Pelodiscus sinensis: one gene and its partners. The protein of the gene in region 2 interacts with the protein of the main gene of each other region in a biochemical or structural test. Links are inferred from orthologs where the notes say so. Each region holds a gene or a part of one and is shown on either strand. Other genes may lie near its edges.

Region 1 (9,813 bases), on a different chromosome or scaffold from region 2:
TTTGCGGCAAAGCTTTGGGTGTGTGGTTGAACAAATGCTGCATTTGGGAGCAGCCCATCATCTGAAATCATTACTACTAAATTTGCAATTTTGTTTTGTTTTCCCTCATATTTTTTTCTCATTAAGGTTCTATTCCAGGTCACCCCTTATGCGAATCCTAGGACACGAGTCAAAACGTTTTTAGATGGAGTTGCCTGACCTTTGCATGACTCCAAGATTGACTAAAAGCTATTTCAAGCAAATTAGTCAAAGCGCAAAGCAGTTTCCTAAGACAGCAGTTCTGTATTAACAGATTGTAATAACAAAGCAGGAAAACAGAAAGAGCCCAACATCCCAAGATATGAAGCGTTCAGATACTGTGATGAGGGATTTGGCATGTAAGTACACAGAACAGATTGGAATGGAAAATGTAACTGCCTGGTAAAGGACCCCGTGGGTGATTTCCCCCCACCTCAATATGTTTTGAAAGGACCCTTCTTTTTCACATCCCCTTTGCAGTTGAGCCGCACCCTTTTAAAAAAATGCCCATGTGAGCCTAAAGAAAGAGCCCTGTTCTCTAATCAATTCCTGCATTGAGAGAGGCAGAAGAGCAACAGTTCCTTCTCAGTTCCTCACCCCTGACTATACTCCTTCCCGCCTGCACCTGTCCTCTTATGTCTAAGTATTAGCTTCCCGTCTGACAGCCCAGGGGAGCTTGCAGCCAACGGGAAGCAAGTTTTGCAAACCAGGAACAACATGAAAAACTAATAAATTAAAACAGTGCCACAAAAACACACAGTAATATTGGAAACTGACCCAGCCTTCCATATCCATTGTCTCTTGACATCAGACACTCTCTGAATTAAATAAACCAAGTTATTTTATTTTAAATAACAAACCTTTAGCTAGAAGTTTGACTAAAATGATTTTCTGTGACTTAACAACAGAGACAACTTTCCAGCTACCATCTCAGTGACATTTTCAATCAGTCTTCTTCATTCTCCCAAATTCCCCAAGTTTTTTTCTATTTTTATGACACAATCCTATAGAATGTAATAGAGAACACTCTTTTATTTGTTTCTATAAATCATCCTACCAAATTTAACAGACCTATATCTTGTATATATTTCTATAGAGCAGTTCTAAATCCCTATAGAAATGAACTCATTTCCTTTAAACATATAAAAGTTTTATGGAAATTCTAAACGAACCTTTTCAGAGCCCTGCAGAACTCTGCTGGTTCTGTAGAGTTCCAGAGGATTATTCCATAAGCAGGACTTTGCACCATACTTTCCATCAGAAAATTTCTGACCATGTGATTCATTTCATTGTTTTCTTTTGTACAACAAGAAAATTCAGGTTCAAGTGCTGGTTTATTGGCTGTGTGTGGGAGCAGGAGGAGGGGAGATTTCACTTTATAACAGCATGGGGTGATCTGGATCATCGTATGGTGGTTCCTGGCCATCATGAGATGAGGGACACTTATTCAGAGGTGACACAAAATGCTGTAGGACAGACTGCCAGTTGAATGACACCAGTAGCACTGGGGTTAGCGGGTATAACCACTTCTGAAAGATGGGAAGAGCAAAAGAGGGAAATTTTAGGAGTGGGGAAAATACTGCCCAGCAGATTTCCATTAAAATGTCATTAGAGTCCCTCTGTAAACTGAACCAATGATGGAGGGCTGTAACTGGGAACAGCTCGAGGGCTACTTGCTGAGCTGAAACCTGCTGGACCCTGTTCTGACTGACGGATCCACCTTTCTTAGCTATGCTTGTCACCCCCAGGGCAGGAGAGCTAGGAGTGGTGGCCTGGGAATCAGGCTCACTGTGGTCAGAAGGGAAGGGCTAACTCATGTTACAGCTCTCGCTGAACAGTCCAGTTGCCCCTGCCCCCTGTGTTTGGGTGATGTAAACTACAGAAACCCAGCACCAACAATGATGGGCTTAATCCTTGTTAATTCTCTAGTATTTATGCTCAGATCCTTCTAGATGCCAACATTTACCTATGTCCCAAGTACAGGACATAAACCCACTTTTAGCGTATGTCTACACTGCAACACTATTTTGAAATAACTAGCTCTATTCTGAAATAACTTAGTCCGCATCTACACAGCAGGCAGTTATTTCAAAATAGTATCAAAATATTGTCAAGCTGGAGGACTTCTTACTTGGATGCGTGTAACCTTCATTGTATGAGGAGGAAGGGAAGTTGGAGAAAGAGTGCTATATTTGGAAATAAGTGCTGTGTAGACCCTCCCTATTTCAAAATAAGCTATGTCAAAATAAGATACATCATTGATGTAGCTCAATTTGCATAGCTTATTTCAAGTTAAACCCTGCAGTGTAGACACATCCTTAACCAAGGAAACTTCTAGAAAGGAGAAGTGGGGTTAGTTTCTTTAGCATAAGCTGACATTACCCATTACTCTCATAGCTAAATCACTGGGATTTCAATAATACACAGTAATGAAAATGTGTGGGTGAGAATTAAATGTAGATCTCAAGTGGAGGGCAATTGAAAATCATTTCTGGACTACTGTGAAGCGTGACCATCTGAACTGGGATTAATAGGGATGGAGGGAGGGAGGGAAGGGAGATGAGCCATTCCTAGCAGAATTTAGTATGAAGCCATTAGAGCTTCATCCCACTGTTAGACAGTGGAGAGGACTTTGCACTGACAGGTGCAGGGAGGTCAAACCAATAGACACTGCACAAAGAAGTAAACTTTAGCCTCCATTCCTCAGAGGAGGGGAAATTGAACCCTGAGTGGTCCCGCAGTAAAGGCTCCACAGACAGCCCTCTGACGTGAGACACCCACACGTCACCAAGGGACTTGAGTCCAGCTGGAGTCTGAGGGCAGCGGTCACCTGCTTATTATTACTAGAGCTATGAGGTAGATAAACAGGAACAAGAACACCGCAGCAGTCACGCATTCCTCAGGGGACGAACCTCATCCACAGTCTTAAAATAACCCTCAGTCGGGGAGGAACTAAACATGTCCTTGCCCGAGGATTCTGTACATCCTGCAAATAAACAAGCCCTCCCCCCGCGAACGGGGCACACCCACATATGTATAGCGAGCTTGCTAGGTTTAGTCCCTTGGCCCTACCAAAGAACCGTTACATTGTTGGTGCCTTTTTAATTGGACTCGGGGGCGGGAGGAGGGTGTAAAAGCGCGTCTCTAGAACACGGACTCGGTTGTGCCATGCCTGACGCCCTGGGACTCCACGCAACCGTTCCGCACAGTACCTTTACAGTGCGCTAAGTCCTCGCTGGCAGGCAGCCCAGCTTCTTCACACAGCAGTTCACACGTTTTGCCCTGTCCCAGGGGACAGCCATTGTCCTCCTCCTCCTCCTGGAAGTCACTTTTCCCGTAGCTGTTGGAGTACCCATTGGCATGCAACTTCAGCGCAGCTCGCCGGAGGCACAGCAGTTCCTGAAAAGCGTACCTGAAGTCCGGGCTTCTGCAGTAAATCAGGGGGTTGAAGGCGGAATTGACATAGCCCACCCAGTTCAAGAGGATGTAGAGGTAAGTGGGGATGATGTTGTCCCGTATCACGTGCACGATGTTGACGATGAAGAAGGGCAGCCAGCATAGAGTGAAGGTACCCATGATGATCCCCAAAGTTTTCAGGGCTTTGTGCTCCTTCAAGCAAAACTTGGAAGTTCTCCGGTGACTCGCTCTCCCGTTCGGCTCCTGCTGGTTGTTGTTCTGGTTATGAAACCTCCCTTCGCTTTTGTCTATCTTCTTCAGCTGCTTCTTGGCTACCTGGAAGACCTTGGCGTAGACGAAGACCATGACCACCAGAGGCAGGTAGAAGGAGATGATGGAAGAAGTGATGGCATAGGCTTGGTTAGTGAAGAAGTGGCAGCAGCTGGCGTTATTGTAACACTCGAGGGCTTCCGGGCTCTCCGCTCTGTACCAGTGCATCTGGATAGGCAAGAAGGAGGTCAGAACAGACACCACCCAGACCACGAGGATGACAACCCTGGCTTTGCTTTTGGTCAAGAGACTCTGGTACTTGAACGGGGAGGTGATGGCAAAATACCGGTCCACCGCGATGACGCACAGGGTCTCGATGCTGGCTGTGACACACAGCACGTCTACGGCGGTCCAGAACTCGCACAAGAAGTTCCCGAACTTCCACTGGTTCAACATGATGTGGCTGGCGCCGAAGGGCACCACGGCCAGCCCCATCACCAGGTCGGCGCAGGCCAGGGAAGTGATGAAGTAGTTGGTGACGGTCTGCAGCCGCTGGAACTTGGCGATGGCCGTGATCACCAGGACATTGCCAAAGACGATGGCCAGCACGATCACAGACATCAGGATGCCCATGCCCACCATCCAGACGTCTTGGTGCAGGCTGGGGGAGTCTGTCCCCGCTTGGCTGCTCCCGTTGCCCGCGTGGCTGGGACTCACGGACCCCATGGCTTCCTCCCCGCAGCGGCGACAGCTCTGCGCCCTGCGGCGGCCCCGCGTCCCACCCCCGCCGAGCTGCGCTGGCGCTTTGCAGGCAAGTCCGGGACTGTCCCAACCGGCGTCCGCTGCCCGCTGCACAGCCCCACACGCGCTAGCTGTCTCCGGCGGCTGGTGCTCGGCTGGTGCCTGCAGCAGTCACACGATGCGTCTTCTAGGTGCTTCCAGCACCGCAGCTCCCAAGAGAGGCCGGCGGCGGCTTGGCCGGGCTGGGGGACTCCTGCAGTTGGACTCACTGGTAGGTTGTTTGGAGGTTGGGGATTTGCATTGGCTGGTTCCCCTTGGCCCCCTCCCCGCCCTGCCCTGCCGCAGCTCCAGCCTGGGCAGCCGCTGCCCGGCCCGGGCTCCTGGCTACAAGTGTCCTGAGCCCGTTATGTGGCAGGGCGCTTATAGGAACAGCCCGTCGTGACATCAGGCAGCCCCAGCCAATGGGCTGCCAGCAGGACACACGCGCGCGCGGCTGCCGGGGCTCCTGCTAGTCTGGCCCGGGGAACGGGTCTTGCTGCCCGGTCCGGGTGCCTCGCGCTGGCCTGGTTCACGGGGGAGCCCGCACTTCGGTCCGCGCTGCCCGCACCGCCCCCTCCTCTGGCCGCGCGCAGCCCAGGTCTCGGCCGCTCGCTCCAGGCGCTGTGGTGGACAGAGGCAGACGCGCCCCCCCGGGCGCTGTGCGTTCCGCGCTGCCCCTTCGGCCCCTTCGCTGGATTCCGCGGCCGAGCAGGGTTTCGCACCGTTTCCCTCATCACCCTCGCTCGGGGGCGGGGGGGGGGGTCGTTTTGCGTGCGCCACGCCCCGTCCCCACGCCTGTCGCTGCTTCGCGAGCGAGGTGCTCGGCGCGCCCTAGCCAGGGCTGCTGCGCCTTGTGTGCTTGCACCGCGAGGCGGCCGCGGGGCTCTGAAGTGGACCCGCAGAGCCCCCCATGCGTGGGAGAAGCCGCACGGGCAGATCTAGGTGCTGCGTGTCAGAGGGAGGAAGGAGGCGGGATACTCTCTGCCCGCCCCCCGCCGACACCGCCCGATGCCCCGGGGACTGCTGGTGTACAGCTCCCAAGGGCACTTTGCCAACAGCCTGCTACTACTTAGCCTTTGTTCTTCAGCTTTAATTAAAATCACGTCGGGGCGCTGGAGACGGTGCATTTGTACAGTTTCCCTGCCAATCGCTGAGACGCAGGTAGTTACAATCAAGGAGCCCGCTACGTATCTGCCTAACTACTTTCAACGTTTAGCCAAGTTACTGCGGGTACGGATCCGTGAGTGCAGATAGTATCGAGATTCCATATTTAGAGCAGTAGGTGCAACTACTTTGTTTGCCAGATTAAGCTTCCAAAGAGACTTCGTTTCTCTAATTACAGCATTTATCTTGCAACACCCTCCTTTTAAGTGCATGTCTAAACGTAGCACATGATCCCTGGAACCAGATCATTTAGCTCCTGTAAGGAAAACTTCCTTCCTGATGGAAGAAAATACAGGGCAACATTTAACTGCGATGTCTAGGGATAGGAAAGAGAAGCCGAAAAAGCAGTGTTATGTTGACTATGTACACATACTTTTGGTACTCTACACAGCAGCGTTATTTTGCAATAACTGATGTTATTCCGAAATTACATAGTGTGCATCTACACTACAAGCCTTTCTTTCAAAATAATGTCAACTTCTTTCTCTGACTCATGGTAACCTTCATTTTAAAAGGAGGAAGGGAAGATGAAGGAAGAGTACTCTTCCTTTGACTTCTTGCTGTGCAGACAGCACCAAAAGCCAAATTAAGCTATTTTGACTTGAGCTATGCAATTGACATAGCTGAAAGTGGGTAGTTTAATTCAACTTTAGTCCTGCTGTGTAGATGTACCCTTTGAGACAAGGACCCAAATCTGCCTCCTCTTGCAAATTTTCCTGCTGGACCCATTCATTGGGATTGCCAGCACAGTAATGTAGTGGTCAACAGGAGTAAAGATGTCAGGATCTGGCTCTTTAATATTTTGCAGTTTTTATTTTGAAAGCAGACACATTTTGTCATTGCATAGGGAAGTCATGGAAACCCATAGGAACAACTGACAGGGTATAACTGGAATGGAGGGCAGCTTCCCCAAGTCTGAGCCTGTTAGTGTTGGGGATACAACAGTACAGATTTCTCATTGTCGGTTTCCATTCTGATCCTATCTGCTTGCTTGTAGCTATCAGTGGGATAAATCCAAGAGAAAAAAAGGAGGCTGGAGAGCAATGGGTTAAATTGCAGCAAGGGGGATTTAAGCTGGACATTAGGGGTATGTCTAGACTACATGCGTCTGCCGACAGAGGCATGTAAATTAGACATACCAACATAGTCAATGAAGCAGGGATTTAAATATCCACCGCTTCACTAGAATAAAAATGACTGCCACGTTGTGCTGGCTCAGCTGTTTGTCAGCATGAACCAGCAGTCAAGATGGGGATCAGTCGACAAGGAAAGCCTTTGTCGACCAATCCTGTAAATCTCATTTTATGAGGCGTAAGGGATTAGTCAGCAAAGGCTTTCCTTGTCGACCGATCCCTGTCTTGACTGCCGGTTTGTGCCGACAAACAGCTAAGCCGGCACAACGCGGTGGCCATTTTTATTCTAATGAAGCGGGGAATATTTAAATCCCCACTTCATTGACTATGTCAGTATGTCTAATTTACATGCCTCTGTCGGCAGAGGCATGTAGTCTACACATACCCTAGGAAAAACTTCTGAACTGTCAGGGTAGTTAAACACTGGAATAAATTGCCTAGGGAGGTTGTGGAATCTCCATCAGTGGAAATACTTAAGAGCGGGTTAGACAGACATCTATCAGTAATGATCTAGATGGTGCTTGGTCCAGCTCTGAGGACAGGGGACTGGACCTCTTGAGGTCCCTTCCAATTCTAGTATTCTGTCCATATGTGGAATAATTTTATGTGCACTGAAGCATGTGCAAATGTGCACCAACAGTAGAAACATAAAAGCATAACTGAGCAGCATTGGAATCTCTCCTGAACAGCCACAGAAGTGCACAGCTTTCAGGGAAGAGTGATGGAGGGGGACCATGTGTTTTGGACTGAGTTGGAAGAAGGCAGGGGAAGTGGATCAAAGATTCAAGAAATTTGAACCAGCTGAGGACCAATCTCAGACACATTGTTTGAACTACATCTGTGTTCTCAGAGGTCATATACAATTAAAGACCGATATAGTCTTTTTAATCTGTTATAGGACAGTTCAGCTATTCCAGAGGTCCTGAACACTAGGAGAAAGACCTTTTTCTTCCTCTGGTTGTGCTGCAATTTACAGTTTACTAATTTCTTGGTAAGTAGCGAGAGACCTTTTGACTTGAGAAAAGCAATATAGAAGGAGAAGGAGGAAATGTTATGTGCCTTTGTTACATGATAGCTTTGTCTTTTCATCCTCCCCCCCTTCTCCCCATGCCAGTTTATATTGGAATTGTTAATACACTGTAACAATTTTATCTGGCTGTACACTTAAAAAGATAATCTTTTCAAATTAAAGGTTAATAACTTTTAATTTATTTGTGGCAAATGCATGGGGCAAATGTCATTTCTCTCAACAGCTTCAAAGATTTCTCCTTAATGCACGTCTGGTCTATAATCAGAGAGTTGTGACCCATCTTCAGTAAAACCATGGTACTGAACAAATGTATTCAGTGATTTCCCAAAACACTTGAGAAATGCTGTTAGAAATATGCCTGACCTGACCATATATATTCCTAACATGGTTAACCTGCTGGTCTGAGTTTAAATGGATTTTCCCCAAAAGCAAACAGTTTGTTATGTTAGGGAATAATGATTACCATATGCTCCTTTTTATCTAAAAGGAGATAATTTTGCCTTTTATGTTTAGTATCTGCTTATTTATTTATAATGAAACCATATCAACTCAACGCTTCTTTTTTCTGAGATAAAGTACATTCCATGTAGCATGTGAATTCTTTTGGACATGACTTTAAAATCTGAGGTCCTTTGGGCTGTGATGTACACGGACTTTAAGATCTCCTAGCATTTAAAATTAAAGATTGCAGCGGTGTCATGTCTAAAATACACCTCTTGTCTATAGTTGTGCATTATGCTGTGCACTTGGTAACTGCTGCCTTCCACACCAGAGGTAGCTGCATTTCTCACACACACTCTCTCTGAACTACCATGTAAGGACTGCTAATGTATGCGTACATTTGAAGAATGGGGCCCACAATTTGCAAAGCTCTTTGGAATAAAAGGTGCTATAGAAATGCAAATATTATTCATAATTAAATGGGTTTGAGGTAGAGGGCTGATTATTAATCTTCTTTAGATTTCTGAAGGATTAGTAATGTTGAATCACATTTTAAAGTTATCAAGACATTAAACATTCATAGGGTTACAGGATTCTGTCTCATTTTCCCATTGCTAATAGAAAATTAAATGTAAAAGTAATAAAGCCCTGGATGTTACATTCTGCAACATAAGTCTGCCTACAATTGCTCTGCTTCTTTCACTATCCATCATTTCTAAGACTTTGGGGTGTGAGCAAACTTCTCAGAACCTGTTGCTTCAAAGCTACTAGGTGTCCCATGTCACGCAAATTCTGCTCTTGAGGTTGCATTGTTTAAGCCCAGACCTGCTATAGTTAGAGTGCTACATTGTACACGTTCTGTGGTTTTATGAAAGAAGGGTTAGTAAGGTGCTAGAAACTAGAAATAAACAGTGAGGTTTTTGCTTAGTGTTGCAGAGGTTTCTCTTAGGATGTCTCAACCACATTACTGGAAATATTTTCAGACCTTACCCCCATGTTTTGTAGTTAAAAGCCACCCCTAAACACAGGATCTTTAACATTACTAAAATAAATAGTATTTAAAAAAAATAAAAATTGATGATGTGTACAAAAACTGTTTCCCCTGGAAATATCCAAGACCTTTGGAAAGAATGGGGGTTGGATAATCAAAGCATGCACATATTACAGAATGAAACATAAGTGACCTTTGATAAAATAGTCCTTTCACTTCACTGGAGATGGGGTAAATACAGGCAGTCCCCGGGTTACGTACAAGATAGGGACTGTAGGTTTGTTCTTAAGTTGAATCTGTATGTAAGTCGGAACTGGCGTCCAGATACAGCCGCTGCTGAAACTGACCGCCAGTTCTGACTTACATACAGATTCAACTTAAGAACCCCAAGCTTCCCCAAGTCAGCTGCTGCTGAAACTGATGAGCACTGATTCCAGGAAGCCTGGGGCAGAGCAACTCTGCCTCAGGCTTCCTGTAGTCAGCGCTGGTCAGTTTCAGCAGCGGCTGACTTGGGGATGCCTGGGGCAGAGCAGCTGGGGTGCAGCTGGGTTGCTCCAGTAGCACCGCTCCTCGGCGCTACTGGACCAACC
Region 2 (10,620 bases):
TTCACGCAGAGCTGGCTGCCTTTGGAACGGACCGACACACAGTAATCTCACACACAAGTTAAACAGGATTCACTCAAAGGATGCCCCCTAATTTTCTTCACTCCAGTACTTTGAAGAAGACAGGAAAGAATGTGCCTCTGCTAAGGACTGCACAAAACCAGAGAATGGCCCTTAAGCATCAGAGGATTTAAATCCTGCTAGGGAGGCAATTACTCCCTAGGAAGACCCTTATTTGAAGCACAACAACAGTTGATCCTATCTCTCCCTGCACACAAGACATGTGCCTGCTCCTCCACCCAACGCATTCAAGGGTGTGGTGGAAAACCAGGGCAACACACCCCCACATCACAAAAACAAATCTCCATTCCTCCCTGATAAGAAGTTCCTATCTCAAACTAACTCTGATTGGCATAATTTGTTGCCATAGTCCATAAAATAAGCCATCCCTATGCAGGCCAGAATGTGTCAGAGAATCTTTAAAAGCACATGGCAAGGTGGCAAAACAGTCTGACAGACCCCTACTGATGGAATCTGGCAGCACAGCTGGGTTTTCCTTCCTATCATTAGAATTCATTCTGACATGTGGCTTTAACTGTCCTGAATGTAAAGCCCGAGCTGTGCCTGCATTAGGGAGGGTACAATATGTTTGTCCCAAAGCAACCAGGACTCAGAGCTCCCTAAGGCTCTGGGCACATAACAAGATCTTTACATCATGGCAGTGAGGCCACTTGACTGATATGGCTGCAACATAGTAAAGATCAGTGGGAGGGAACGCCAGATTTCTGTCCCCTATAGAAAGGGCAAATTGCATCAGTGTTCTTCTTTCTTCCTCTCCCAAGGGTCATCAAGAGAAGACTCCTCTCATTTTAATGGGGTGAGATGAAAGATGAACCAAAAATTTTGTTGCCCCCATCCCCAGTCAAAGGGACTCTCACTCCCTGGCCAAAGCCACTTCAGCCCTGTCAGGCTCCTTTGTGGGAAACTGAGGAGTACAAAATCCTGCTATCAGCACATCTGCTCCAATGACCTGGTATTTTCCCATCAGTCTGTGCAGTTGGCAGGCTACCTCCCAGCAGAGCGGCCAAAGGGGAACATGTGTTCTAGCTGCAGACTAAAGTCCAATAGAGGGAGAAGTTGCAGAATTAACACTCCTTAGCAGAAATCAGTAAGAATGTTAACTCAGCGCAGACACCAAAGTCCATCCATTGTCCTCACTTATCTCCTTAAGGGCACCCTGCTCCTCCTCCTCACACCAGCTAACACCCTGCCTGTAATTGGGATTGCTCTTTTACAGAGTCCAAGTCTAAAGTTCACAGCACCTCTCTAGATCCTACCCCCGCTACAGGTTGTTTTCTTGTATTAACACAAACTGATAGGTGACCCCCCCCCCCCAAAAAAAAAAAAAAACCAGGCTTTAGAGCATTAGAGGTTCAGAGCTGGAACTCAGAAAAATAGTGTTTGCACCTGAGACTTCAATTTACTGAAGTTGGGGAGTGGAGCTTCTTTGGGACATCGGACCAACACCGTTCTATTGAGAGTTCAAACTCTCACTTTGAGCCATTTTGGCCTATTTACATCTTTGTTTGATAATTAAGCCTTCAGTTCTCTTCTTCAGGCTCACCTCTCACCCTTAAGCTCTGATGAATAATGCACCCACTATGGCAGCTACAGAATTGTATACATGGAAAGTTTATGCTGATCATAAAGGAGTGACCCTGCTTCTTTCAAGAGTTCAGATTTTTCATCTCTCCCTTCCTAAGTAAGAGAACTCAGCTTTGAGGACCACCGATGGGTGAAAACATGAAGTCTTCACAACAAGGTACATATTTTTGATTATATAAATAAATATTCATTAGGTCATGAAGGCAGAGCCTCTATTAGTAACTACCCCAAGTAAGTAAAGGATGCTGAGTCTCAGTTCCAGAGTCCCTTCTCCCCCTCCACATTTACCCAAGACTTAAGTCAGCATGAATCAAAGTTCCCCATCCCTTTTATTTAGTTTTTAATCGTTTTCTGTCAGTAGCACCGAGAGGTCCAGCTCCCATTGTTCAGGACACTGCAGAATGACAGAATCCCTGCCCTGAAGAATTTACTACAATCTTTAATTGGATAGAGCAGCGAACAAAACAAGATACCGGTCAGTATGAAAAACTGGTCAGAGCACACCAGCAGCCTGACCACTGTCAAGGGTTTTTGGGAGGGGTTGCACCTTTTTTAAAAGGAAAAAAAAAAAAACCCACCATATCACAGCAAAAAAGAACGAGCGAGATTTAAAAGAGGATAATGCAGCTCTACTAGCTCCCCACCTCCTAATTAGCCACCAGCTACTGGTTCTTTCTGATCTATGACAACCTACGACATTCATTTAGTTGGGGTTGGACTAGATGATCTTCTATAGGTCTTTCAACCCTAATCTAGGACTCTAAGCCCACAGAAATTTGAATTAACTTTGGGATGCCTGAGGATCTAGTTAGAGGGCCCTGGACAAATAACCCATCTCATCATAACAGAGATGCTGATCTCTTTTGCCTCCCCACCAACTAAGAGCTACACAATTCTAACAAGCAGGAGAAGCATTCAGTTTCACATCCATACATGCACGCAAGGGTGGCATTAGTGTCCTATGAGCACCGAGAAGGCAATAGTCCTTGCGTTGTTCGACCATGACTCTCATCCATATCTGTAAGAGTAATTACACCACTTTCACTGCAATGCTTGAGAGGAAAGTGGATTCTGTTGAAAAGTAATCTTATTTCAAATATCCCAACTACAGCAACATGGCACCATGCAGTCCTAGTGGTTACTGGCAAGAGAAGATGCTTAAGAGGGGCAAACAAAAGCCTTACCCTTCTATGAAAAAAGTGAGCTAGGGAAAGTTTAACACCCCCCTTCCCGGCCCCCCACACACACTTGTTTACTTTGTGCAGCACCTCGCACAAGAGGGGACCCAGTCAAGGACCAGGACCCCTGAATACTCCCACGAACTTTGAATAGTGACTTTCAGTTTCCCGTTTGCCTCTATCATGTGGCAGCAGGAGAGAGACGTTTAAGCCTCGAGGATGGTATGTAGCCTGGATTCTTCTGCTTCCATTATTGTTTTTTCTCATTTGCCCTTCATTTTCATGTCTACCACTGCTTTCCCAAAACTTTTAAGAAAAGACTGGAAAGTGTGCTTGTAAAAAAGCAACAGGAAGAGTGCTTCATGGGCCAATGGAATGCTTGAGATTCTTATTACTTAACAGGCTAGATTTCAAAGTTGGCCTTTCTTTAAAAGGGGCACTTCAGTTAAAGTTCGAGCTACTTGAGAACCTGTCCCTCCTAGCCCCAACCTGCACGAACTCTTCACCCTTCTGCCTAATTCACACACACACACACACACACACACACACACACACACACACAGAGCACCGTGGCGGTCTCCCGCCTCCTTTACTTCTCCCGCTCCAGTTCGCCCTTAGACCCCAAGGCTCGCCCTCCTCCCCAGAAAGAACCTACATTTACCCTCGCCGCAGGGTGGCTCGTCTCCTCCTCCTCCTCCTCTGGCCGCTCCTCCTGCTCCTTCGGTGTCTCCAGCGGCTCCTCGTTACTTTTCTCCTCCGGCTTCTCCTGCCCCGCGGCGGGCAGCCCCCGGACCAGCTCCTCGCGGCACTGGATGCCCAGCTTCTGCAGCTGCTGGTCGGTCTCCGCGTCCACCACCAGCAGGCGCACGGCGCCCACGGCGGATCGGATGCGGTTCACTACCTGCTGGTGACTTTCCTTCTCCACGTTCTCGCCGTTCACCTCCACCAGCCGGTCCCCGGCCCGCAGCCCCGCCGCCTGGGCCGGGGAGTTGGGCTCCACCAGCCGGATGAACTGGCCCACCTTGCCCTTCTCCCCGTGCAAGTGGAAGCCGTAGCCGTTCGGCCCCTTCTCCAGGCAGCAGAGCCGGGGCAGCAGCTGCTGCTCGCTCCCTGCCCCGTCACTCATCTTCCCGGGGGAGCGGGGAAAGGGATCAGAGGAGCCCGCCGCAGCCCCGCTAGGACGCGGGCGGATCGCTCCAGCGCCGGGCGAAGACACCCGGAAAGCCCAGGGAGGTTCCGGGCAGCAGGTGTCCCCGGGGCGGGGTCTGGCCCGAGGAGAGAGCGCGCACCAGCAGGGAGACAACCACAGCGCAGCGCCCGAATCCCCGCCCCGCTCTCTGTCTGAGTTCAGCGCCTGTCACCGCCCTTTATAGCAGGGGGCGGGCAAGAGGGGGCTGGGAGGTGACGCCGGACCAATCGGAGTTAGGCGAGGGAGGAGCTGAGGGGCGCTGACCCGGCTCGTGAAGTGCGAGAGTGGATCCAAACCTCGAGAAGGCGGGGTTATGCAAATAAGAGGAAAGAGGCTCGCTTCCCCCCCCCCCCCCCCCCCCGCGCTCCTCCGCTTTCCCCACGTTTTTTGACAGGCTGCTCAGCCTCCCGCGTGCAAATTGAGCTCTCCGGAAGCAGAAGTGGCCCGAAGTCGCAAGAGCGAAGATTCTCCAGAAGGGCTGGGGCACTTCGTTCCCCCAGAGACAAGGCGTCTAAGAGAAGCAGGCGTGGGGCGCCTTGAGTCATCCAGCCTGCAGCCTGCCTCCAGCTGAGCGCTGCCGCGACTTCCTCGGGGGGGCAGAATGTTGGTCCCGGAAGACTTGCTGTGATGAAGGGAGGGCGGGTTGACTCATTGACTTATCCTTGTTTCTCAATGACACACCCCAAGCTGCTTACTGGCAACTGACAAGTCCTTTCTCCCAGGAGCGTCTGCCAGCAGCGCTGTGTTCAAGTGGCTCTCGATCGGACTGAAGGCGGTGACCGAGTAGCTTGGTAGTTTGGGGCTTTACACGCATTAGGAACTGGTGGGATTGCTAATCATATTAATTGCAATTAGAGCCATCCTTTCGGGTTTAGAACGCTCTGGTACAACTGCTGGGTCCTATTCACCCATTCAATTCATTACTCCAGTTCACAGCACCCTTTCTGTGAACCGCTTTCAGGCTGATGGGCTGTTCGTGAGGGATCTGCTTTAATTCTGTCTTTGACTAATTACTCTCCGGGGTGTAGGATGGGGTTTCACTTCGGTCACATGGTTGCTCTCTGATTGGATGGCTGCATTTTTTGAACAGGAGAACAATGGGTAACAAAAAACAGATCTGAATCTAGGCCACCAGAAGCAATCGAATTGTGTATTTACTAAAGCAACAGGAATCATGTGGGTTGAGACATATCAGATGCTAAATTCCTTAGTAAAATTGGGGAGAGAAGATGGACTCTGAATAGCCTCTGAGCTGGTGCTGTCATAGCAGAGGGCACTAGTCTGTTTCTGCATGTGGTTTGACAGCTTTACAGATCACGGGACTTTCCCCCCTTTGGTAAAGGTTGTATGGGTGCCAGGGCAGGTTCTGGGAACTTTTCTCTCTTTCTCAAAATTCCAGATCAGGTTCCCGTGAATTTCCCTTTGCAACTCTGCTAGTTGGACTTTGTCTATTCATCCATAATTTGGCTTTGTGGAAACCGCAGAGCTGTGTGAGGTTAGTGCTGCCTGTGTAAGTAAAACCCACTCCAAACAGCATCAGGAGAGAGCCATTTACAGAACTCAGCATCATCTTTATGATAAACACTAAGTATAACACTGTTCAATATAAAAGCAGTTTTATTTTGCAGGATAAAAGGGAGCAGCAGCTTTTTGTTGAGACTATATTATTCAGGGGATACATTTAAGAATCTACAATGGACTGTCCCTTGCACATGATACCCCATAAGACTTCATTTACTCTTTCCTTAACTGTGAAGGTAACAGAATGCAGAAATCTTGCAATGATGAACCATAGCATTTCTCAGCATCCTCACTATTTAATTGAGTCTAACATGTTAAAAGAGAACATTTGAAGGGACAGTCAACTTAAAAAATGCCATTCAGATCTGAAAATGCTGCACTTACTATTGTAACTTGTAACCAGTGTTCCCAGTAAGCTGGGCCCTTGTGTGGCCACTCAGGAGAGATTCAAATGCCATTAAGCTGATAAGCAGAGCGCTCACTGCTAGGTTTGTGTTTCTCCTGATGGTGCACATTTATACACGCTGTGGTGCACATACAAATTTATTCCACACATGGCTGGAAAAAACTCTGCATGGGGATGGAAAAGATTACAGGGAACATTGCTTGTAACCCCTATGAGCACTTGAAACAAGAGTCAAATTAGACATTCCCCCTCCTCCCATACATTTACTTTGTGCATTTGACACCAGTTGTGCACCCTCAGGTTTCCTGTTCTGGTGATGCCTCATCCCACCCCCAGGCCCTGCCCTGTATAACAGCAGAGCGAAAAGTGAAAGTGAACAGTCTGAGCACCTCTGGTGGTTTTACTTTTGTTCTGAGGCCTGGTCAAAAATCCCTCTGAGCTAAAACAGAGAGGCAGAAAAAACTCTAACAGTTTTCTTAAAGGAATTAAAATGCAAATTAAAACTAGTTTTTTGTCAGTTTTGGGGACCCTTTTTCCATCATATATGAACACTGTCGTCTGCTAAACTACCACAACTTCAGCATAATTTAAAATGCAAGGACAGAAGCTCCTGTGGAATAGATGGAAGCTTTTATGAAGCCCCCTACAGTTGGTTTATACCAGAGATCGGGAATGGCGAGATGCAGTCCCTGGCTTGCCTGAATCCGGCCCCTGCATTGGGGAGCTGGTTCTGACACTCTGGCCCCACTACAGGGCTGGAGCACACAAAATCTACTTGGCTTGTTCCCACCCCCAACGCTGGTGTGTGAGAGGAATGTGGGTGTCTTCTCAGTCAGGGGCCATGTCAATGGGGGGGGGGGGGGAGTTGTGCAGCCCGATTGATTTTTCTGTGGGTTAGTGGCTCCTGTCCCAAAAAGGTTCCCCACCCCTGGTTTATACAATTACTATGCTTAACAGAATTACAGAGACACAGAGCTAAAGTGACAATGTCAACTGGGAAATCCAGCAAAGTGGACTTATGCGGACCTGTCTGTGCCCTATCACTGCTAGTTTCAATTCCAGCAGGATGAACTCAATGTCCTTAGGGAAGTGGACCATCTTCTTTGCATTTCACTGCAAGAAGGCAGGTACAGGACTAAAGAGCCAATTTAGTTCTAAGGAGAGCCCTTTATGAAGTAAGAGTATTTTTCAGAGTGGAAATAAAGGCCTTATAAGGAGTCTTGGGAATCACAATGGGTAATTATCTCCTTTTTAAAGTTTATCAGCGGTGGGTTTAAAACCTACGATGTTGATCCTGTAGAATGGACCTCTATAGCTAGAGAAGGGTAGCCGAGTTAGTCTGGAACTAGAAAAAGTTTTAAGTTTCTTTATAGCTAGGTGAGTAACTCAGCAGTCCCAGTAGGCTACCAAAGATGAGACCCAGCCACAACACATGCTTTGCAAACATGACAGACAGCTTCTTGAAAAGTAGTGCAATTTGAAGGAATTCTTCAAGCAAAAAATGTGCTTTTCAGGAATCTTTTTATAAGCCATGAAATACAAGTCAGTTCTGGCAGGGGAGGGTTTAGAAAGGCACAGAGGGAGGGAGGTGAAATTCACCAGAGGGAGGGAAAGAAACACACCACATACCCCGCAGTTCAGGAACTTTGAGCACTGATGATAAAGCAGAATGTGACAGCTTTCCTAATGTTTATTTGGCTGCAAGTATCTTAATCTTCCTGGTTTCTCCCAGTCAGTGTGGAGTTTTTTTTTTCAGCAGCTGCTTAGTAGGTTAAGAAAGATCAAAATTTAGGATGCAAAACCGAAAAGAATTTAAAAGAAAAAGCCAACTAACTCTCTCTCTTTTTTGCAAGCATCAGCTTAGCTACAGAAGCAATTCCATTGGTGGGAAGACAAAGGTATTTGGGGAATGTTAGACTCTGTACCATGAGAACAGCAGGGGGAGGAGGTTGGTTTTAATTTAACAGACCATATTTACTCTTCCCCATCACCTTTGGACTTCTGAAATGTGCAGTGAAGTCACAGGGGCTAGGCAGACGCACACCAGAAATTCCAGGGCTTGTGCTGTACTTATTTAATGCCCAGCAAATATTGCATTGCAGATACCCAGCCAGCAACACCCTCTCTCTTCTCTAAAGAATTGGAAATTGCTTGGGCCAAGAACTAGGTGGACACATTTGCTCTCCAAAATACTGAGATTTAATTCTGTAACTTGCAAACAATAAACCGTGAACAATAGAAGAGGCAAAGGAGTCCCATGATAATAGAGAGAGAAGCTACGACTGCCAGAGAATGGACTTGCTGTGTATGATCCTGCGACTTCTAAGAAATTCCCATATGGAATGGTAGTGCAGTGTCATTCCATAGCACTTGTGGTGGAACTAGACTTGCCAGATCCTCGTGAATTGTGTAAAGAAGATTGTCAAGAAAAATATTTTGGGTTTTTTTCCTGTCATTGCTTCCTGCTAGTGTGATAACATGTGATACTAGGGTGACTTTGATTTTACTGACAAAGGATTTGATCCTACTCCCAGCAAATGTAATGGGAGTTTTGATATGGATGGCAGGAGAAGCAGGTCTAAAGGAAGGGTAAAATGAAGCAACGCGCAGCAGTGCTGATTTTAGAACATACAGGGTCTGATCCTGCTCCCATTAATCTCAGTGGCAAAACTCCCATTGATTTTGGTGGAGTCAGGGTGAAGCCCACAAAATTCAGAGGCAAGCACAATACAAAGTGTTTGCTGAGTGAGGTGGCTGAATGAGGCATCATTTCTTTGCCGAGTGGGTTTAATCTGATACCTGACAAGGGCAGGGAGAAAGATTTGCATTATATACGTAGACAAAAAGGAAATGCAAACAAAATTCAAAGCTGGGAGTTTATGAATCTCCTGTGTGATCACCTCTGCTCTGATTCAAAGCCTAAATCTGGACCAGGCCTTAGCCTTACAAATGAAGTGCTACCTTTTGAGACAGCCCTACAGCATCTTACATAGCCTAGTATAATGATGTGATGCCATTTCAACTCCCCACACAATCCTGCTTTCTTGTGGGGCACAGACGCAAAGCTGAGGTGAAATCGGTGATGCCAATCTCTGGCAGAGCACAAGGGGAGGTAACAGACTTGCACCCTGTGAAGAAAGCATTCCTGAGATTTCAAAATAAGAAGGGTCAAGGGGAAACAAAGAACAGGACCCTCTGTCTCCAGAGAACTGCTCAGGCTCATGTGAAGCTCTGAGAACTGTGCATAGGACATAGCAAATTCAAACATCGTAATAAAAAATACAACCTGCAAGTAATGGACAGATCAGAAAGTGACACAGTTGTGAAAGACACAGTCATGCTGTTCTACAGTCTAACTCCAGCATTGGTTTGGCAAACAACATTTGTGCTTCCTCCCTGGAGCATTAATTATTAGTTAAAGCATTTCAGTGTTAAGTCAACCCTCCCATCTATGGTCTAATTAAGCATCGTCAGGGCATTGCCCTAGATGATACTAATAAATTACAGAGACCTCCTGTGACAAGGCTCGTGCTCCTGGAATATTTATTCCTACAAAAGTCTCTTCTCATCTGGCAGAGCATAATAGCCAGTGTGACCGGCTTGAGCCAGGTCCTGCTAGACCCTGTAACTCCAGCCGTCCTCCTGGCCTCAGTGTGAGTTACATCTTGTCCACAGTGGGAGCACTTTACTGGTGTAGGAAAACTGATGTGCTAGACCAGCAATGCATTCCTAGTGTGGACACAGACACAGCTCAATCAGCAAAGCTGTGCTTTGCATCAGTACCATACCGCCCATGTGAAACAAGCTACACTGGTATCGGCACAGTTTTGCCAGTGTCATTGTGTCTACATTACAGACCTTGAGCAGCATAGCTATGCCAATCAGAGATCAACCTCTTGCCAATATTGCTGTGCTCGGTGTCTGCAGTGTAGACATAGCTTTTGTACCCAGGGGGGTCAACAAAATTGACTTTCCTTCCGTGCCTCAGTTCCCACAGGACCTGGGCCTTTTTGGTTTTTTTAAGCATATACCTACCAAAAAAAACCCCAAAACCACAACAGCCCAGTAACTCTAATAGGTAATTAGTTCAGACCCTTAGACACAACACGCATGAGACCGGTACCTAAAAAGAGATTAATGCACATTCACTCTCAAGCCCCAGTTCAGCAAAGTCAATGGGACTCCATTAAAGCACATGCTTCAGGGGCAGGGGACACACTAGAGAAAGGAAAATGCAAACCAGACACAAGGTAAAATCACAGTGAAGGCGACACGGGGCCACAGCTGGGAAAGCTAAACTCTACAAAAGAGGAGCTGTGACATGCTGCCTCCAGAGGATGGCAGACTGGGGGTGGTCTCTGGCTGTCGGCAAATGAGCTCCAGGCTGGGCAGAGGTGACGAGCTCCTCCTGCTATCTCCCATCCAGTTGCCTGGGAGTAAAGAGCGAGCTTGCTCTCCGTGCCCATTTGGAGCTTGCCTGCTCTGCTGCCATTGGCAACAAAGGAGCCACTCGGTGCCAAGGGCAAAGGTCATTTGTGGACAGTGGACATCTGTCTCTTAGGGACCGACCAGAGGCCCATTTCACCCCAGAGCCAGCGGATGGTGACTTTGGACTGGATCTGACTCTCACTCAAGCCAGCAGGAATCTTTCCCTGGGCTTCAGC
Region 3 (9,743 bases), on a different chromosome or scaffold from region 2:
TTTCTTTTAGTTGATAAATAGTCTCTGAGTATGGTGGGGAAAGCAGAAAAAACACTAGCTAAAAGGACAGAAACTTCTAAAGTTCTGTCAATGAGCGTGCCATTTCCGTAAGCAATGTGTCATTGATAAATAGAAGAATCCCCTACATGTCACCCTCTAAAACAACTAGGACTTTTTATACACATGTATGTAAAGGAAACTTGGCATCATGCAGAGCCCCCAGGGCAGTGGTTCAGAAGAGGAAATGTATGTCTTCATATGTCATTGGATTAATTTATACATGCAAGGCCCTAAAATTTTTAAAATTTATTTAAATTTTAATAAATACAGGAAAAGCAAGCTCTGGATTTCTTAGAGAAGAGGATAAAAATATAAAACATACTAACTCTCAAATATAAAACATACTAACTCTCAAATGGGGAGAGATATGACCCCCACTTGGATTGACAGTTCCTATTTACAGAGCATGGGTGGAAAATATGTCACAGATCCATCTCTGCCAAAGTGGGCTCATAATCTGTGCTTAGTGCCTATTTAAAAAGATGGCAGAATGATGTGGCAAGGCCTTGGTGCATAGTTGAATACATAGTCTCCTGCCATTTCCTAAAGATGTCTTTTCAAACACATCTTTAAAACATCTCTGGATCACCCAGACATTCGAGGTCCAAAGTCCTAAACATGGTAAGCAGTCTGTCCAAAACTCTGCAAGGGTTGGACATTTCAGCAACAGAAGACAAATCTCTCATTCAGTGATGCTTCATTCACTTCAGTCCATCTGATCACATAAAGGTATGACTAGGGGAGCAAATACACCAGGAGAGTTGGAGACAATCAGAATGTCTAAGTTTCCAGAAGATAAAAGCTCCAAAGAACCCATCAATCCACATTCAGCAAAAGAATTAAGAACGTACAGATATTGCAGTCACTGATTTCACATTCTCTGGTATTCAGTTCTGAAACTCTCAAATATTCCAAGTATACCAAAAATGCAAGTTCAATTTTTGTTTTAGATGTAAGGTTCTGATTTCAACCCTGACCCAACGAACAGATTCCTCATCTTCTTCTGTAAGCCTGCTGCCAAACAATGGAAAGGGTACAGTCTTTTCTAAAATTCAAAGCATTAATTCAAATTCATAGCATTCATTTACTGCATACTTTCCCCCCATCTTTCCATCCAGCCCTTCAATGTTTATCCAGAAAAGTTTTTTTGCACTGATTTTCACCTGTTTGTGTTGTTCTGGTAATAAACACTGATAAATTCCTGGGGAAAACGAAGTAAAATAAAAACTGAAAATAAAGAGGCTTAGCTATACCATATTATGGTTATAAAAGTCATTGTGAGGATGAACTTAATTCACACTTTAAAGTTGTTTAAAGAAGTTCTGTTTGGCACAAGCTGTTCTTGATATATCTTGTAGGACAATCAATTTCAAAACTGTGTTTTACTCTTGCACATTCAGACTATAAAGTCTTTATTTATGTGCCATCCAAATCACACAAAGTTTATCACAGCAATTAATGAGGGACTTGAACTGAGATTTGGGAATAATTTTTTTTTCTGATAGTACCTGGAGGAAAGCTTAAATAAAATGTTTCAGAAGTAATAAGCAGTTATATTTATCTTATTTATAATTTTTAAAGTCTAGTGGATACCTTTAAGTATGAGGGAGGTGGGTGCTTTCCATCTTGTTACTAGATTTGCCCAATACTATGGGGTATGCTCATTTATTAGGGTTACTCTTATGGGACTGGGGAATTCTATCAATTCTATCAGTGTGCTGCTTGTGCTCTCATATGGAGCTGAATTCTCTCCCTGTTGTCAATTCCCCCTCCCACTGGAGCTCTCCTGAAGGAACTAGGTTCCTCAGGATGGGATTCTTCCCACCTTAGCAACACACACAGACACTCACACCCACTACCAGAGCATGTCTGAGAGGACTGGGTACTCAGCACTCACAAGCTGACCCCTCATATGTCCCTGGATTCAGCAGGATGGGTTAACAGCAATGCTACACTGCACCATCATGAGCCTTTAAACTCAGTTCGCTGGATTAAACAGCACTTTAAGCTGCCATACTCATAAGCCTCCAGGTTCAGCACCCCCTAACCCCACTTTCACACCACAGTAATTCACTGGTAAACCACACGATGAGCAAACCCCACAGGATTTTGGGCACTACAGGGATCTTTAGCTTGGGTGCAAGAAGTGTTGTTGCAGAGTGAATGGGGAAGCCAAAACAACACCCCTTGAGGAAGAGTAAGTGAAAGAGAAAGAAAGAGAGAGAAGCAAACAGCTTAACAATGAAAGTTATTTTTCTGGGTAGTGAATAGATATGAAACAGTTACAATATTAAATCTAAATTGAAACTGATTACAAATGTTTGGTAACCATATAACAGTTTACATAGGTCAGGGTCAGGAGACTATGCTTAGAGAGGCAGTTGGGGGTGAGGAAGGGAGAGAGAGAGAGACCTTACCACTCCGTGGAGCATGCACTGATCGGAATTCCCAGATGGTGATAGAAGCTGGGGGTCTAGAGGGCAGGAGATAAGCAGAGCAGAGCCCCCAGCACGATCAGACAGGAGATGATGAATTCTCAATGGAACTGATTCAGTTTAAATCCAGGTGTCAGAACAGTTTTTCTTGGGACAGGGTAGGAGTTTTTATAGGGATAGGACAATAGTTCAAAGAGAAAAAGAGGCGGGACAATAGAGACTGATCATCCCTGGTTATGGATGATGTTCCTTGAACAAACTCACAATGCAACTAGGCAGTTTCAATATTTTGGATGTCAATAGGTTCCATTACTAGAATTGGTCTGATAATGACTAATTGGGGTGTGAGCAGGCCTGGCTTCATTAGCATCTGGAGCAGAGATTTCCCATCAGGCAGTGCTTCTCTGCTTTTGGTATCCCATAGTTCAGTGCGGTTCTGCTTTGGAAGAGCTGGTCTCCATTCTGTATGCTAATAAGATGTCCCTCTGTTCTATCTTCAATGCAGATGAGGCTGGGGTGTTTCCTTAATTAGTTTAGGTGTATCTTCCCTGGCCTTTTCATTGCTTTGTCTGATTCTAGCAAACCTAGGAGAAGGGGAAGGATGGTTTTCCATGAATGTCACTCCCTGGCTCTCCAGGAGCACAGGGCTGGTAGGTAACCTGCAACTGTCCATCAAAATCTAATTAGTGCTTATTTGTATTTTAGTAGTGCAAAGAGGGGCTAGGTGCTGTACAAACATGTAGGAAAACTATGCTTCCCCTAAGGAGCTGCCAGGCTAAGGCAGTGGTTTCCAACAGGGAAGGTCCACAGACTATGTCTAAGATTTCCAAAAAAGCCCTAGCTCTATTCACAATTTTAGAGGCCTGCAAAAGAAAGAATCATAGAAGACTACATAGAGATTCCATAACTTCTCTAAGCAATTTATTCCAGTGATCCAGGGTATGTCTGGACCTTGTCCACGATTTCCGCACTAGGCACAGGAAAGTGGCCGTCTAGGGCAGGAGAGCTGCCAGCCTGGCCACCCAGGAGCAGGTGTGCAAGAGAATCAAGGGGGTCCAGTGAGACCCCCGTCCCTGAGCCCTGAGCTTACAATGGCCGTCCTGGGTCAGACCAAAGGTCCATCTAGCCCAGTAGCCTGTCTGCCGACAGCGGCCAACCCTAGGGACTCTGGAGGGGATGGACCGAAGACAGTGACCAAGCCATTTGTCTCGTGCCATCCCTCTCCAGCCTTCCACAAACCTTGGCCAGGGACACCACTCCTACCCCCTGGCTAATAGCACTCCATGGACCCAGCCTCCATGACTTGATCTCACTTCCCTTTAAACTCTGTTCCAGTTCTAGCCTTCACAGCCTCCTGCAGCAAGGAGTTCCACAGGTTGACTCTTTGCTTTGTGAAGAACAACTTTCTGTTACTAGTTTGAAGCCTGCTACCCATCCCTTTCCTTTGGTGTCCTTTAGTCCTTCTTTATGGGAACTAATGAAAAACTTTTCTGTATGCACCCTCTCCACCCAACTCCTGTTTTTAGAGACTTCTATCCTGTCCCCCCTCCGTCTCCTCTTTTCTAAGCTGAAAAGTCCCAGTCTCTTTAGCCTCTCTTCATATGGGACCTGTTCCCAACCCCTGATCATTTTAGTTGCCCTCCCCTCTCCCAGCCTCTCTCTTCCCCTAACCCACCTCCTTTTCCCAGTCTCCCCCAGTTTTGTTCAATAAAGACAGATTCCATTTTGGAAGACATGTTATCTTTATTTTGTACATCAAGAAGAGGGGCTAGGGAAGGGTAAGTGGAAGGAGGTGAGGGAGGAATGGGGCATGAGCCCCTGATGGGGAGGACTGGGCTGGCTCTGTGGGCTTCTGGAGGTGGAAGCTCTCCTGCAGCCTCCCAATTGCCCCCTCTCCCCAGATGGCAGCCTGTGGCAAGTGCAGCTGAGCTGATGGCTGAGTGGTGTGATGTGCCTAGTGTGGGTACTCCGGGCACTCCAAGCCAGGACTGCTTTGCAAGCGGGGCACCCCTGAGAACTGTCTTTCCGGGGTGGGGGTCGGGACCCTTTAAGCACAGCCCTCGGCTAGCCTGAGACAGCATCTCCACACTCTAAGTCCTCCTCTGATGCCCTGCCGGCACTGCTTCCGGCCATCCTTAACCTTGGTTCAGGGTCCACTTAATGTGGACATGCTAGTTCGAATTAGCAAAATGCTAATTCAAACTAGTTTTTAGTTCTTTTCTTGGGGAATAAGCTATCTCGAAACAGTTCTTTCAGGAGTTATTTTGAATCTAGTTATTTCAAACTAACTTCCTAGCATAGATGTCCCCTGACAATTAAGAAGTTTTTCCTAATGTCCAACCTAAGCCTCCCTTGGTGCCCATTTCCACCTCCTGTCAGAAAACATGATATAAAGACAACCAAGATGGGACTTCAATCCACAACTACAGAGACTGATACTTTATCCAGTCAGTTCCAGGGGCACCTATGAAAGATTATAACCCCACTGATCTAAGGTCGTTGCCCCCATGGAGCTGGCCTCCTGTGGCTTCCCGTTAACTTTCTAAGGCGCAAATCCTGCAAACATTGCGGCCCCTCAGGGGAGCTGGGCAGCTGTAGCCGGAGCCAGGAGGGGGCTCGCGTGTGCGGGAGCTGGAAGAAAGGAGGCTTATTGAAATCCTGCTCGCACTGAAGGCCAGGCCCGAGCCCCCCTGCCGGCGGGCGGTAGGTCTCCCGGCGCTGACCGCCCACGCTCCAGCACGTCTCTTGCCACGTCCCGGGGCAGCGCTTCGCGGGGATCGTGCCCGGGCGATGCCTGGCCCCGGCGGCTGCTGGCGGACTCCGGCCGTGCGAGGGCGCCGGGGCTGGGTGTCAGGTTTCCCGGAAGCGGCGCCGGGCTGGGGAGGCGGCGGCTGCCGGCAGCTGCATGCTGCGGGCCGGGCACTGAGCGGCGGCTGCAGGTGACAGCAGGGGATGGAGGCGCCGCGGCGGGAGAAGAAGCCCAACCCCCTGCAGGCGGCCAACCTCTGCTCCCGGCTCTTCTTCTGGTGAGTCCCCGGCCCGCGGGCTGCTCGGGCCGCCAGGAGCAGGCGTCGGAGCCAGGCGCGCACAGGAGCTCGCCCCGCGCCCAGGGTCCGCTCAGGGGCTCAGGCTCCCTCCCGGGCACGCGCTGGACAGAGCCGGGCAGGAGCTGCCGGCCGGGCTGGCGGGGGGGAGTGTGACCGCGGACAGAGCAGGGGGGAGGCTGTGCACATGGGGGGGGGGAGTGTGACCGCGGACAGAGCAGGGGGGGAGGCTGTGCACATGGGGGGGGGGGAGTGTGACCGCGGACAGAGCAGGGGGGAGGCTGTGCACATGGGGGGGGGGAGTGTGACCGCGGACAGAGCAGGGGGGGAGGCTGTGCACATGGGGGGGGGGGAGTGTGACCGCGGACAGAGCAGGGGGGAGGCTGTGCACATGGGGGGGGGGTGTGACCGCGGACAGAGCAGGGGGGAGGCTGTGCACATGGGGGGGGAGTGTTACCGCGGACAGAGCAGGGGGGGAGGCTGTGCACATGGGGGGGAGTGTTACCGCGGACAGAGCAGGGGGGAGGCTGTGCACATGGGGGGGGAGTGTGACCGCGGACAGAGCAGGGGGGGAGGCTGTGCACATGGGGGGGGGGAGTGTGACCGCGGACAGAGCAGGGGGGAGGCTGTGCACATGGGGGGGGAGTGTTACCGCGGACAGAGCAGGGGGGAGGCTGTGCACATGGGGGGGGAGTGTGACCGCGGACAGAGCAGGGGGGGAGGCTGTGCACATGGGGGGGGGAGTGTTACCGCGGACAGAGCAGGGGGGGAGGCTGTGCACATGGGGGGGGGGAGTGTTACCGCGGACAGAGCAGGGGGGGAGGCTGTGCACATGGGGGGGGGAGTGTTACCGCGGACAGAGCAGGGGGGGAGGCTGTGCACATGGGGGGGGGGGAGTGTTACCGCGGACAGAGCAGGGGGGGAGGCTGTGCACATGGGGGGGAGTGTTACCGCGGACAGAGCAGGGGGGGAGGCTGTGCACATGGGGGGGGGGAGTGTTACCGCGGACAGAGCAGGGGGGGAGGCTGTGCACATGGGGGGGGGAGTGTTACCGCGGACAGAGCAGGGGGGGAGGCTGTGCACATGGGGGGGGAGTGTTACCGCGGACAGAGCAGGGGGGGAGGCTGTGCACATGGGGGGGGGAGTGTTACCGCGGACAGAGCAGGGGGGGAGGCTGTGCACATGGGGGGGGGAGTGTTACCGCGGACAGAGCAGGGGGGAGGCTGTGCACGTGGGGGGGGGAGTGTTACCGCGGACAGAGCAGGGGGGAGGCTGTGCACGTGGGGGGGGGGGAGTGTTACCGCGGACAGAGCAGGGGGGAGGCTGTGCACGTGGGGGGGGGAGTGTTACCGCGGACAGAGCAGGGGGGAGGCTGTGCACGTGGGGGGGGGGAGTGTTACCGCGGACAGAGCAGGGGGGAGGCTGTGCACATGGGGGGGGGAGTGTTACCGCGGACAGAGCAGGGGGGAGGCAGGCTGTGCACGTGGGGCCGGGGGCCTTTCGCTGGGACCAGCCCCCTTCTCCAAGCCTAGGTCAGGTCCCGTGCGACCCGCTCAGCCGGGCTGCCCCGCGTCCTTTAGCCTCCCGCCAGGCCGCTTCTCGCGGTCCGGACGAGCCAGAGCGCACAGCCGGGGGCAGGCTGGTGGAGCTGCCAACCTCCGCTGCTCGCTGGGCTGATGCTGTGCGCCCGTGGGAGGGCAGGGGGGCGGCAGCGCCATCGCGAATAGGGAGCCTGCGATGCTCGCTGCTGTGCGGAATTGCCTCGTTGGGGACTGATTTCAGCCCCCGGCATGATGTTGTTCTGTGTAGTAAATGGAAAAAGGGAATGTGCTACTTGGGTCACAGCTTCTTGTCTGAGCCACCTGTGCTTAGGTCAGTTGTGATGCAAGTTGTCAGCAATTTTCAAACAAGCTGTTTCTTCCACTTACGCAATGAGCAGAGGCGAACCAGTCACTTGTTCCTTCTAACGAAATCTACCCTACCTCGAGCAAACTCCTGGTTTATTTTTTCTTTTTTAAATGAGATCCCTTAAGTAGCACGTGGCTCTCTGGGGAATCTTGCAAAGCAATACCCAATTATTAGCTGGCTGCTTCCTACAGTATCGTTCCTGACTATTGGTTGTTCCGTTTATCCTCTGGGGATCCACGTGTTGAGGCTAAATTTAAAGTGGACTGACTGCTAAGGAACTGCTTAGAAACTGCTTCAATTGAAGTAGGCAGTTAACATTTCTGCAGTAATAGGACAAAGGAGAATTAGTATGTCATGAATTGTTAAAATGAGCCATCAATTTGGAGTCTCTGGAGACCATCATCTTTAGCCACTGCCTTGTCTGTTTTCATTATTCAAATTGGGAGTAATTAAAAATATGTGGTTTAAAAATGTTTTTATTTGTGCTTCAGAATGTCTTGTGCACTAATACATGGTAAAACATGTACCCTAAGCTCCAAAACTACATCCCATGAGTGGCATTGGGAGGGAGATTGTGATAATTGCTGTTTTTCTTAAGTCCTGACTACTGGATTCATGTGAATACATTAGAATCTTTGCTTCAATTGTTTATAAAAAAGAAAGTTTCTAGCGATTGTAGTTGTAGAGAGAAGAATGGAAACGAGTCCCCCATACTTGGTACTCTAAAGTAGTGTTTTTCAAACCTGCTAGGCTGTGTATTCCTTTCTAAATAATTCAATCTACATGTACCCCCATCTGAGACGGGCAGAAGTGACCCATTGGGTGGAATGTGGGATTACATGCTCCCCCAATTTCTGCCTTTTTTCATCTTCTAGTTACAATTTTTTATTAACCCCCCCTACCCTGACAGATTGGTTGACAGTGGTCCCTCTCGTTCTTTCCATCCACACGTGGAATACATCTTGTTATATGCATTGAGGCATATGTGGATATGTATCACTAGTATCGACAAATGTTGCTGGCAATGATTGAGCTGTGGGAGCTCTGCTGATCAGCTGGGCAGCATCTGAATCTCTCCTGAGTAGCTCCCCAAACACTCAGTGTATGGGGAACACTACTGGGTGGGCTGCTGAGGTAAAGGAAGTAGAGGTGGTGCTCCCATCCTGAGCCCCACCGTGTGGGGTGGGCCTGAACTACCTGGCATTGCTGCTTGCCCCCTAGATGTTCCGCTGAGCTCCCGTGGGAGGGGGAGAGGAGGAGGGAAGAGGGAGGAGAGCTACACTCATGGGATGTAGTTCTGGAGCCTAGGGTACATGTTTTACCATGTATTAGTACACAAGACGATAGCATTTCTGAAGTACAAATAATTACAAAAACATTTTTAAACCACATATTTTTAATTACTCCCAATTTGAATAATGAAAATAGACAAGGCAGTCACTAAAAATGATCGTCTCCAGAGACTCCAAATTCATGGCTCATTTTTAACAATGCATGACATACTAGTTTGAAAACATCTATACTGAATATAATGTGTTTCTGCCTTTATAGGATTTTTCTCCCATACCTCCTGACAAGAGCTCCCATGCCCCTAGGGATATGTGTACCACAGTTTGAAACCCACTGCCCTAAAGACTTAAACAAACAGAAGGCAAATAAAAAGAACCCAATATTATTAGTCTCACGTTTTGTTTTTCAGCAGACCATATGACTTTTTGGGGCCTGACTCAAATGTTACAAACATGGTTTTGTAACATTTGGGGTTGGAAATACTGGGCATGAGTCACTGGAAGTTTTGAAAGAGCTGTGTAAACTGTGACCTGTCGCCATAGAGGCCCATACATCCCCTTAAGCACTACGGCTCCAGTTGGAGTTGTGCTAATGTTGGGTCTATGCTAGGGATGTAAGTAACTAGTCAACTAGTCCCTCAACTAGTCACTTTCTCCGCCTTGCTGCCTCTGCCAGCAGGGGAGGGGGGGAGGAGAAACAGGAGCCGGTGCTGGGGAGAGCTGGCTTAAAAGCTGGTTTCCCCCAGCACCGTCTTTGTAGGGCTCAGAGGAGGCAGGAGGGTAGCAGGGATAGGGCGTGAGCTGGGAATCAGCTGCTGGATCTTAATACATTTAAAAAGCAGAAGCGTGGAGTGGGGAGGCTGGGTCCGGCATGAGCCAGGACAGTTGATTCTTGGCTCACTCCGGATCCCTCCCCGCTGTGCACCAGCCTTTTAAACGTATTAAGAGCTGGCAGGCTCTTAAGACATTTAAAAGGCTGGTGCGCAGTGGCAGGGGGGAAGGGAGCT

The links.
Region 1: the proteins of NHERF1 (region 2) and ADRB2 form a complex in vitro, tested with the Homo sapiens proteins (3 studies listed by BioGRID and IntAct, with this or other methods). The link is inferred for Pelodiscus sinensis from reciprocal best matches to the Homo sapiens genes NHERF1 and ADRB2.
Region 3: the proteins of NHERF1 (region 2) and ABCC4 form a complex in vitro, tested with the Homo sapiens proteins (3 studies listed by BioGRID and IntAct, with this or other methods). The link is inferred for Pelodiscus sinensis from reciprocal best matches to the Homo sapiens genes NHERF1 and ABCC4.

What each region holds. Positions count from the first base shown.
Region 1 is NC_134727.1:17,035,246-17,045,058, forward strand, and holds the start of ADRB2 (beta-2 adrenergic receptor), read right to left. Parts: upstream 4,803-9,813; 5' UTR 4,411-4,802; coding exon 3,231-4,410; intron 1,548-3,230; coding exon 1,462-1,547; 3' UTR 1-1,461. UniProt on the Homo sapiens protein: Beta-adrenergic receptors mediate the catecholamine-induced activation of adenylate cyclase through the action of G proteins. The beta-2-adrenergic receptor binds epinephrine with an approximately 30-fold greater affinity than it does norepinephrine.
Region 2 is NC_134730.1:13,340,440-13,351,059, forward strand, and holds the start of NHERF1 (Na(+)/H(+) exchange regulatory cofactor NHE-RF1), read right to left. Parts: upstream 4,198-10,620; 5' UTR 3,967-4,197; coding exon 3,496-3,966; intron 1-3,495. UniProt on the Homo sapiens protein: Scaffold protein that connects plasma membrane proteins with members of the ezrin/moesin/radixin family and thereby helps to link them to the actin cytoskeleton and to regulate their surface expression. Necessary for recycling of internalized ADRB2.
Region 3 is NC_134711.1:251,543,726-251,553,468, forward strand, and holds the start of ABCC4 (ATP-binding cassette sub-family C member 4), read left to right. Parts: upstream 1-5,048; 5' UTR 5,049-5,447; coding exon 5,448-5,521; intron 5,522-9,743. UniProt on the Homo sapiens protein: ATP-dependent transporter of the ATP-binding cassette (ABC) family that actively extrudes physiological compounds and xenobiotics from cells.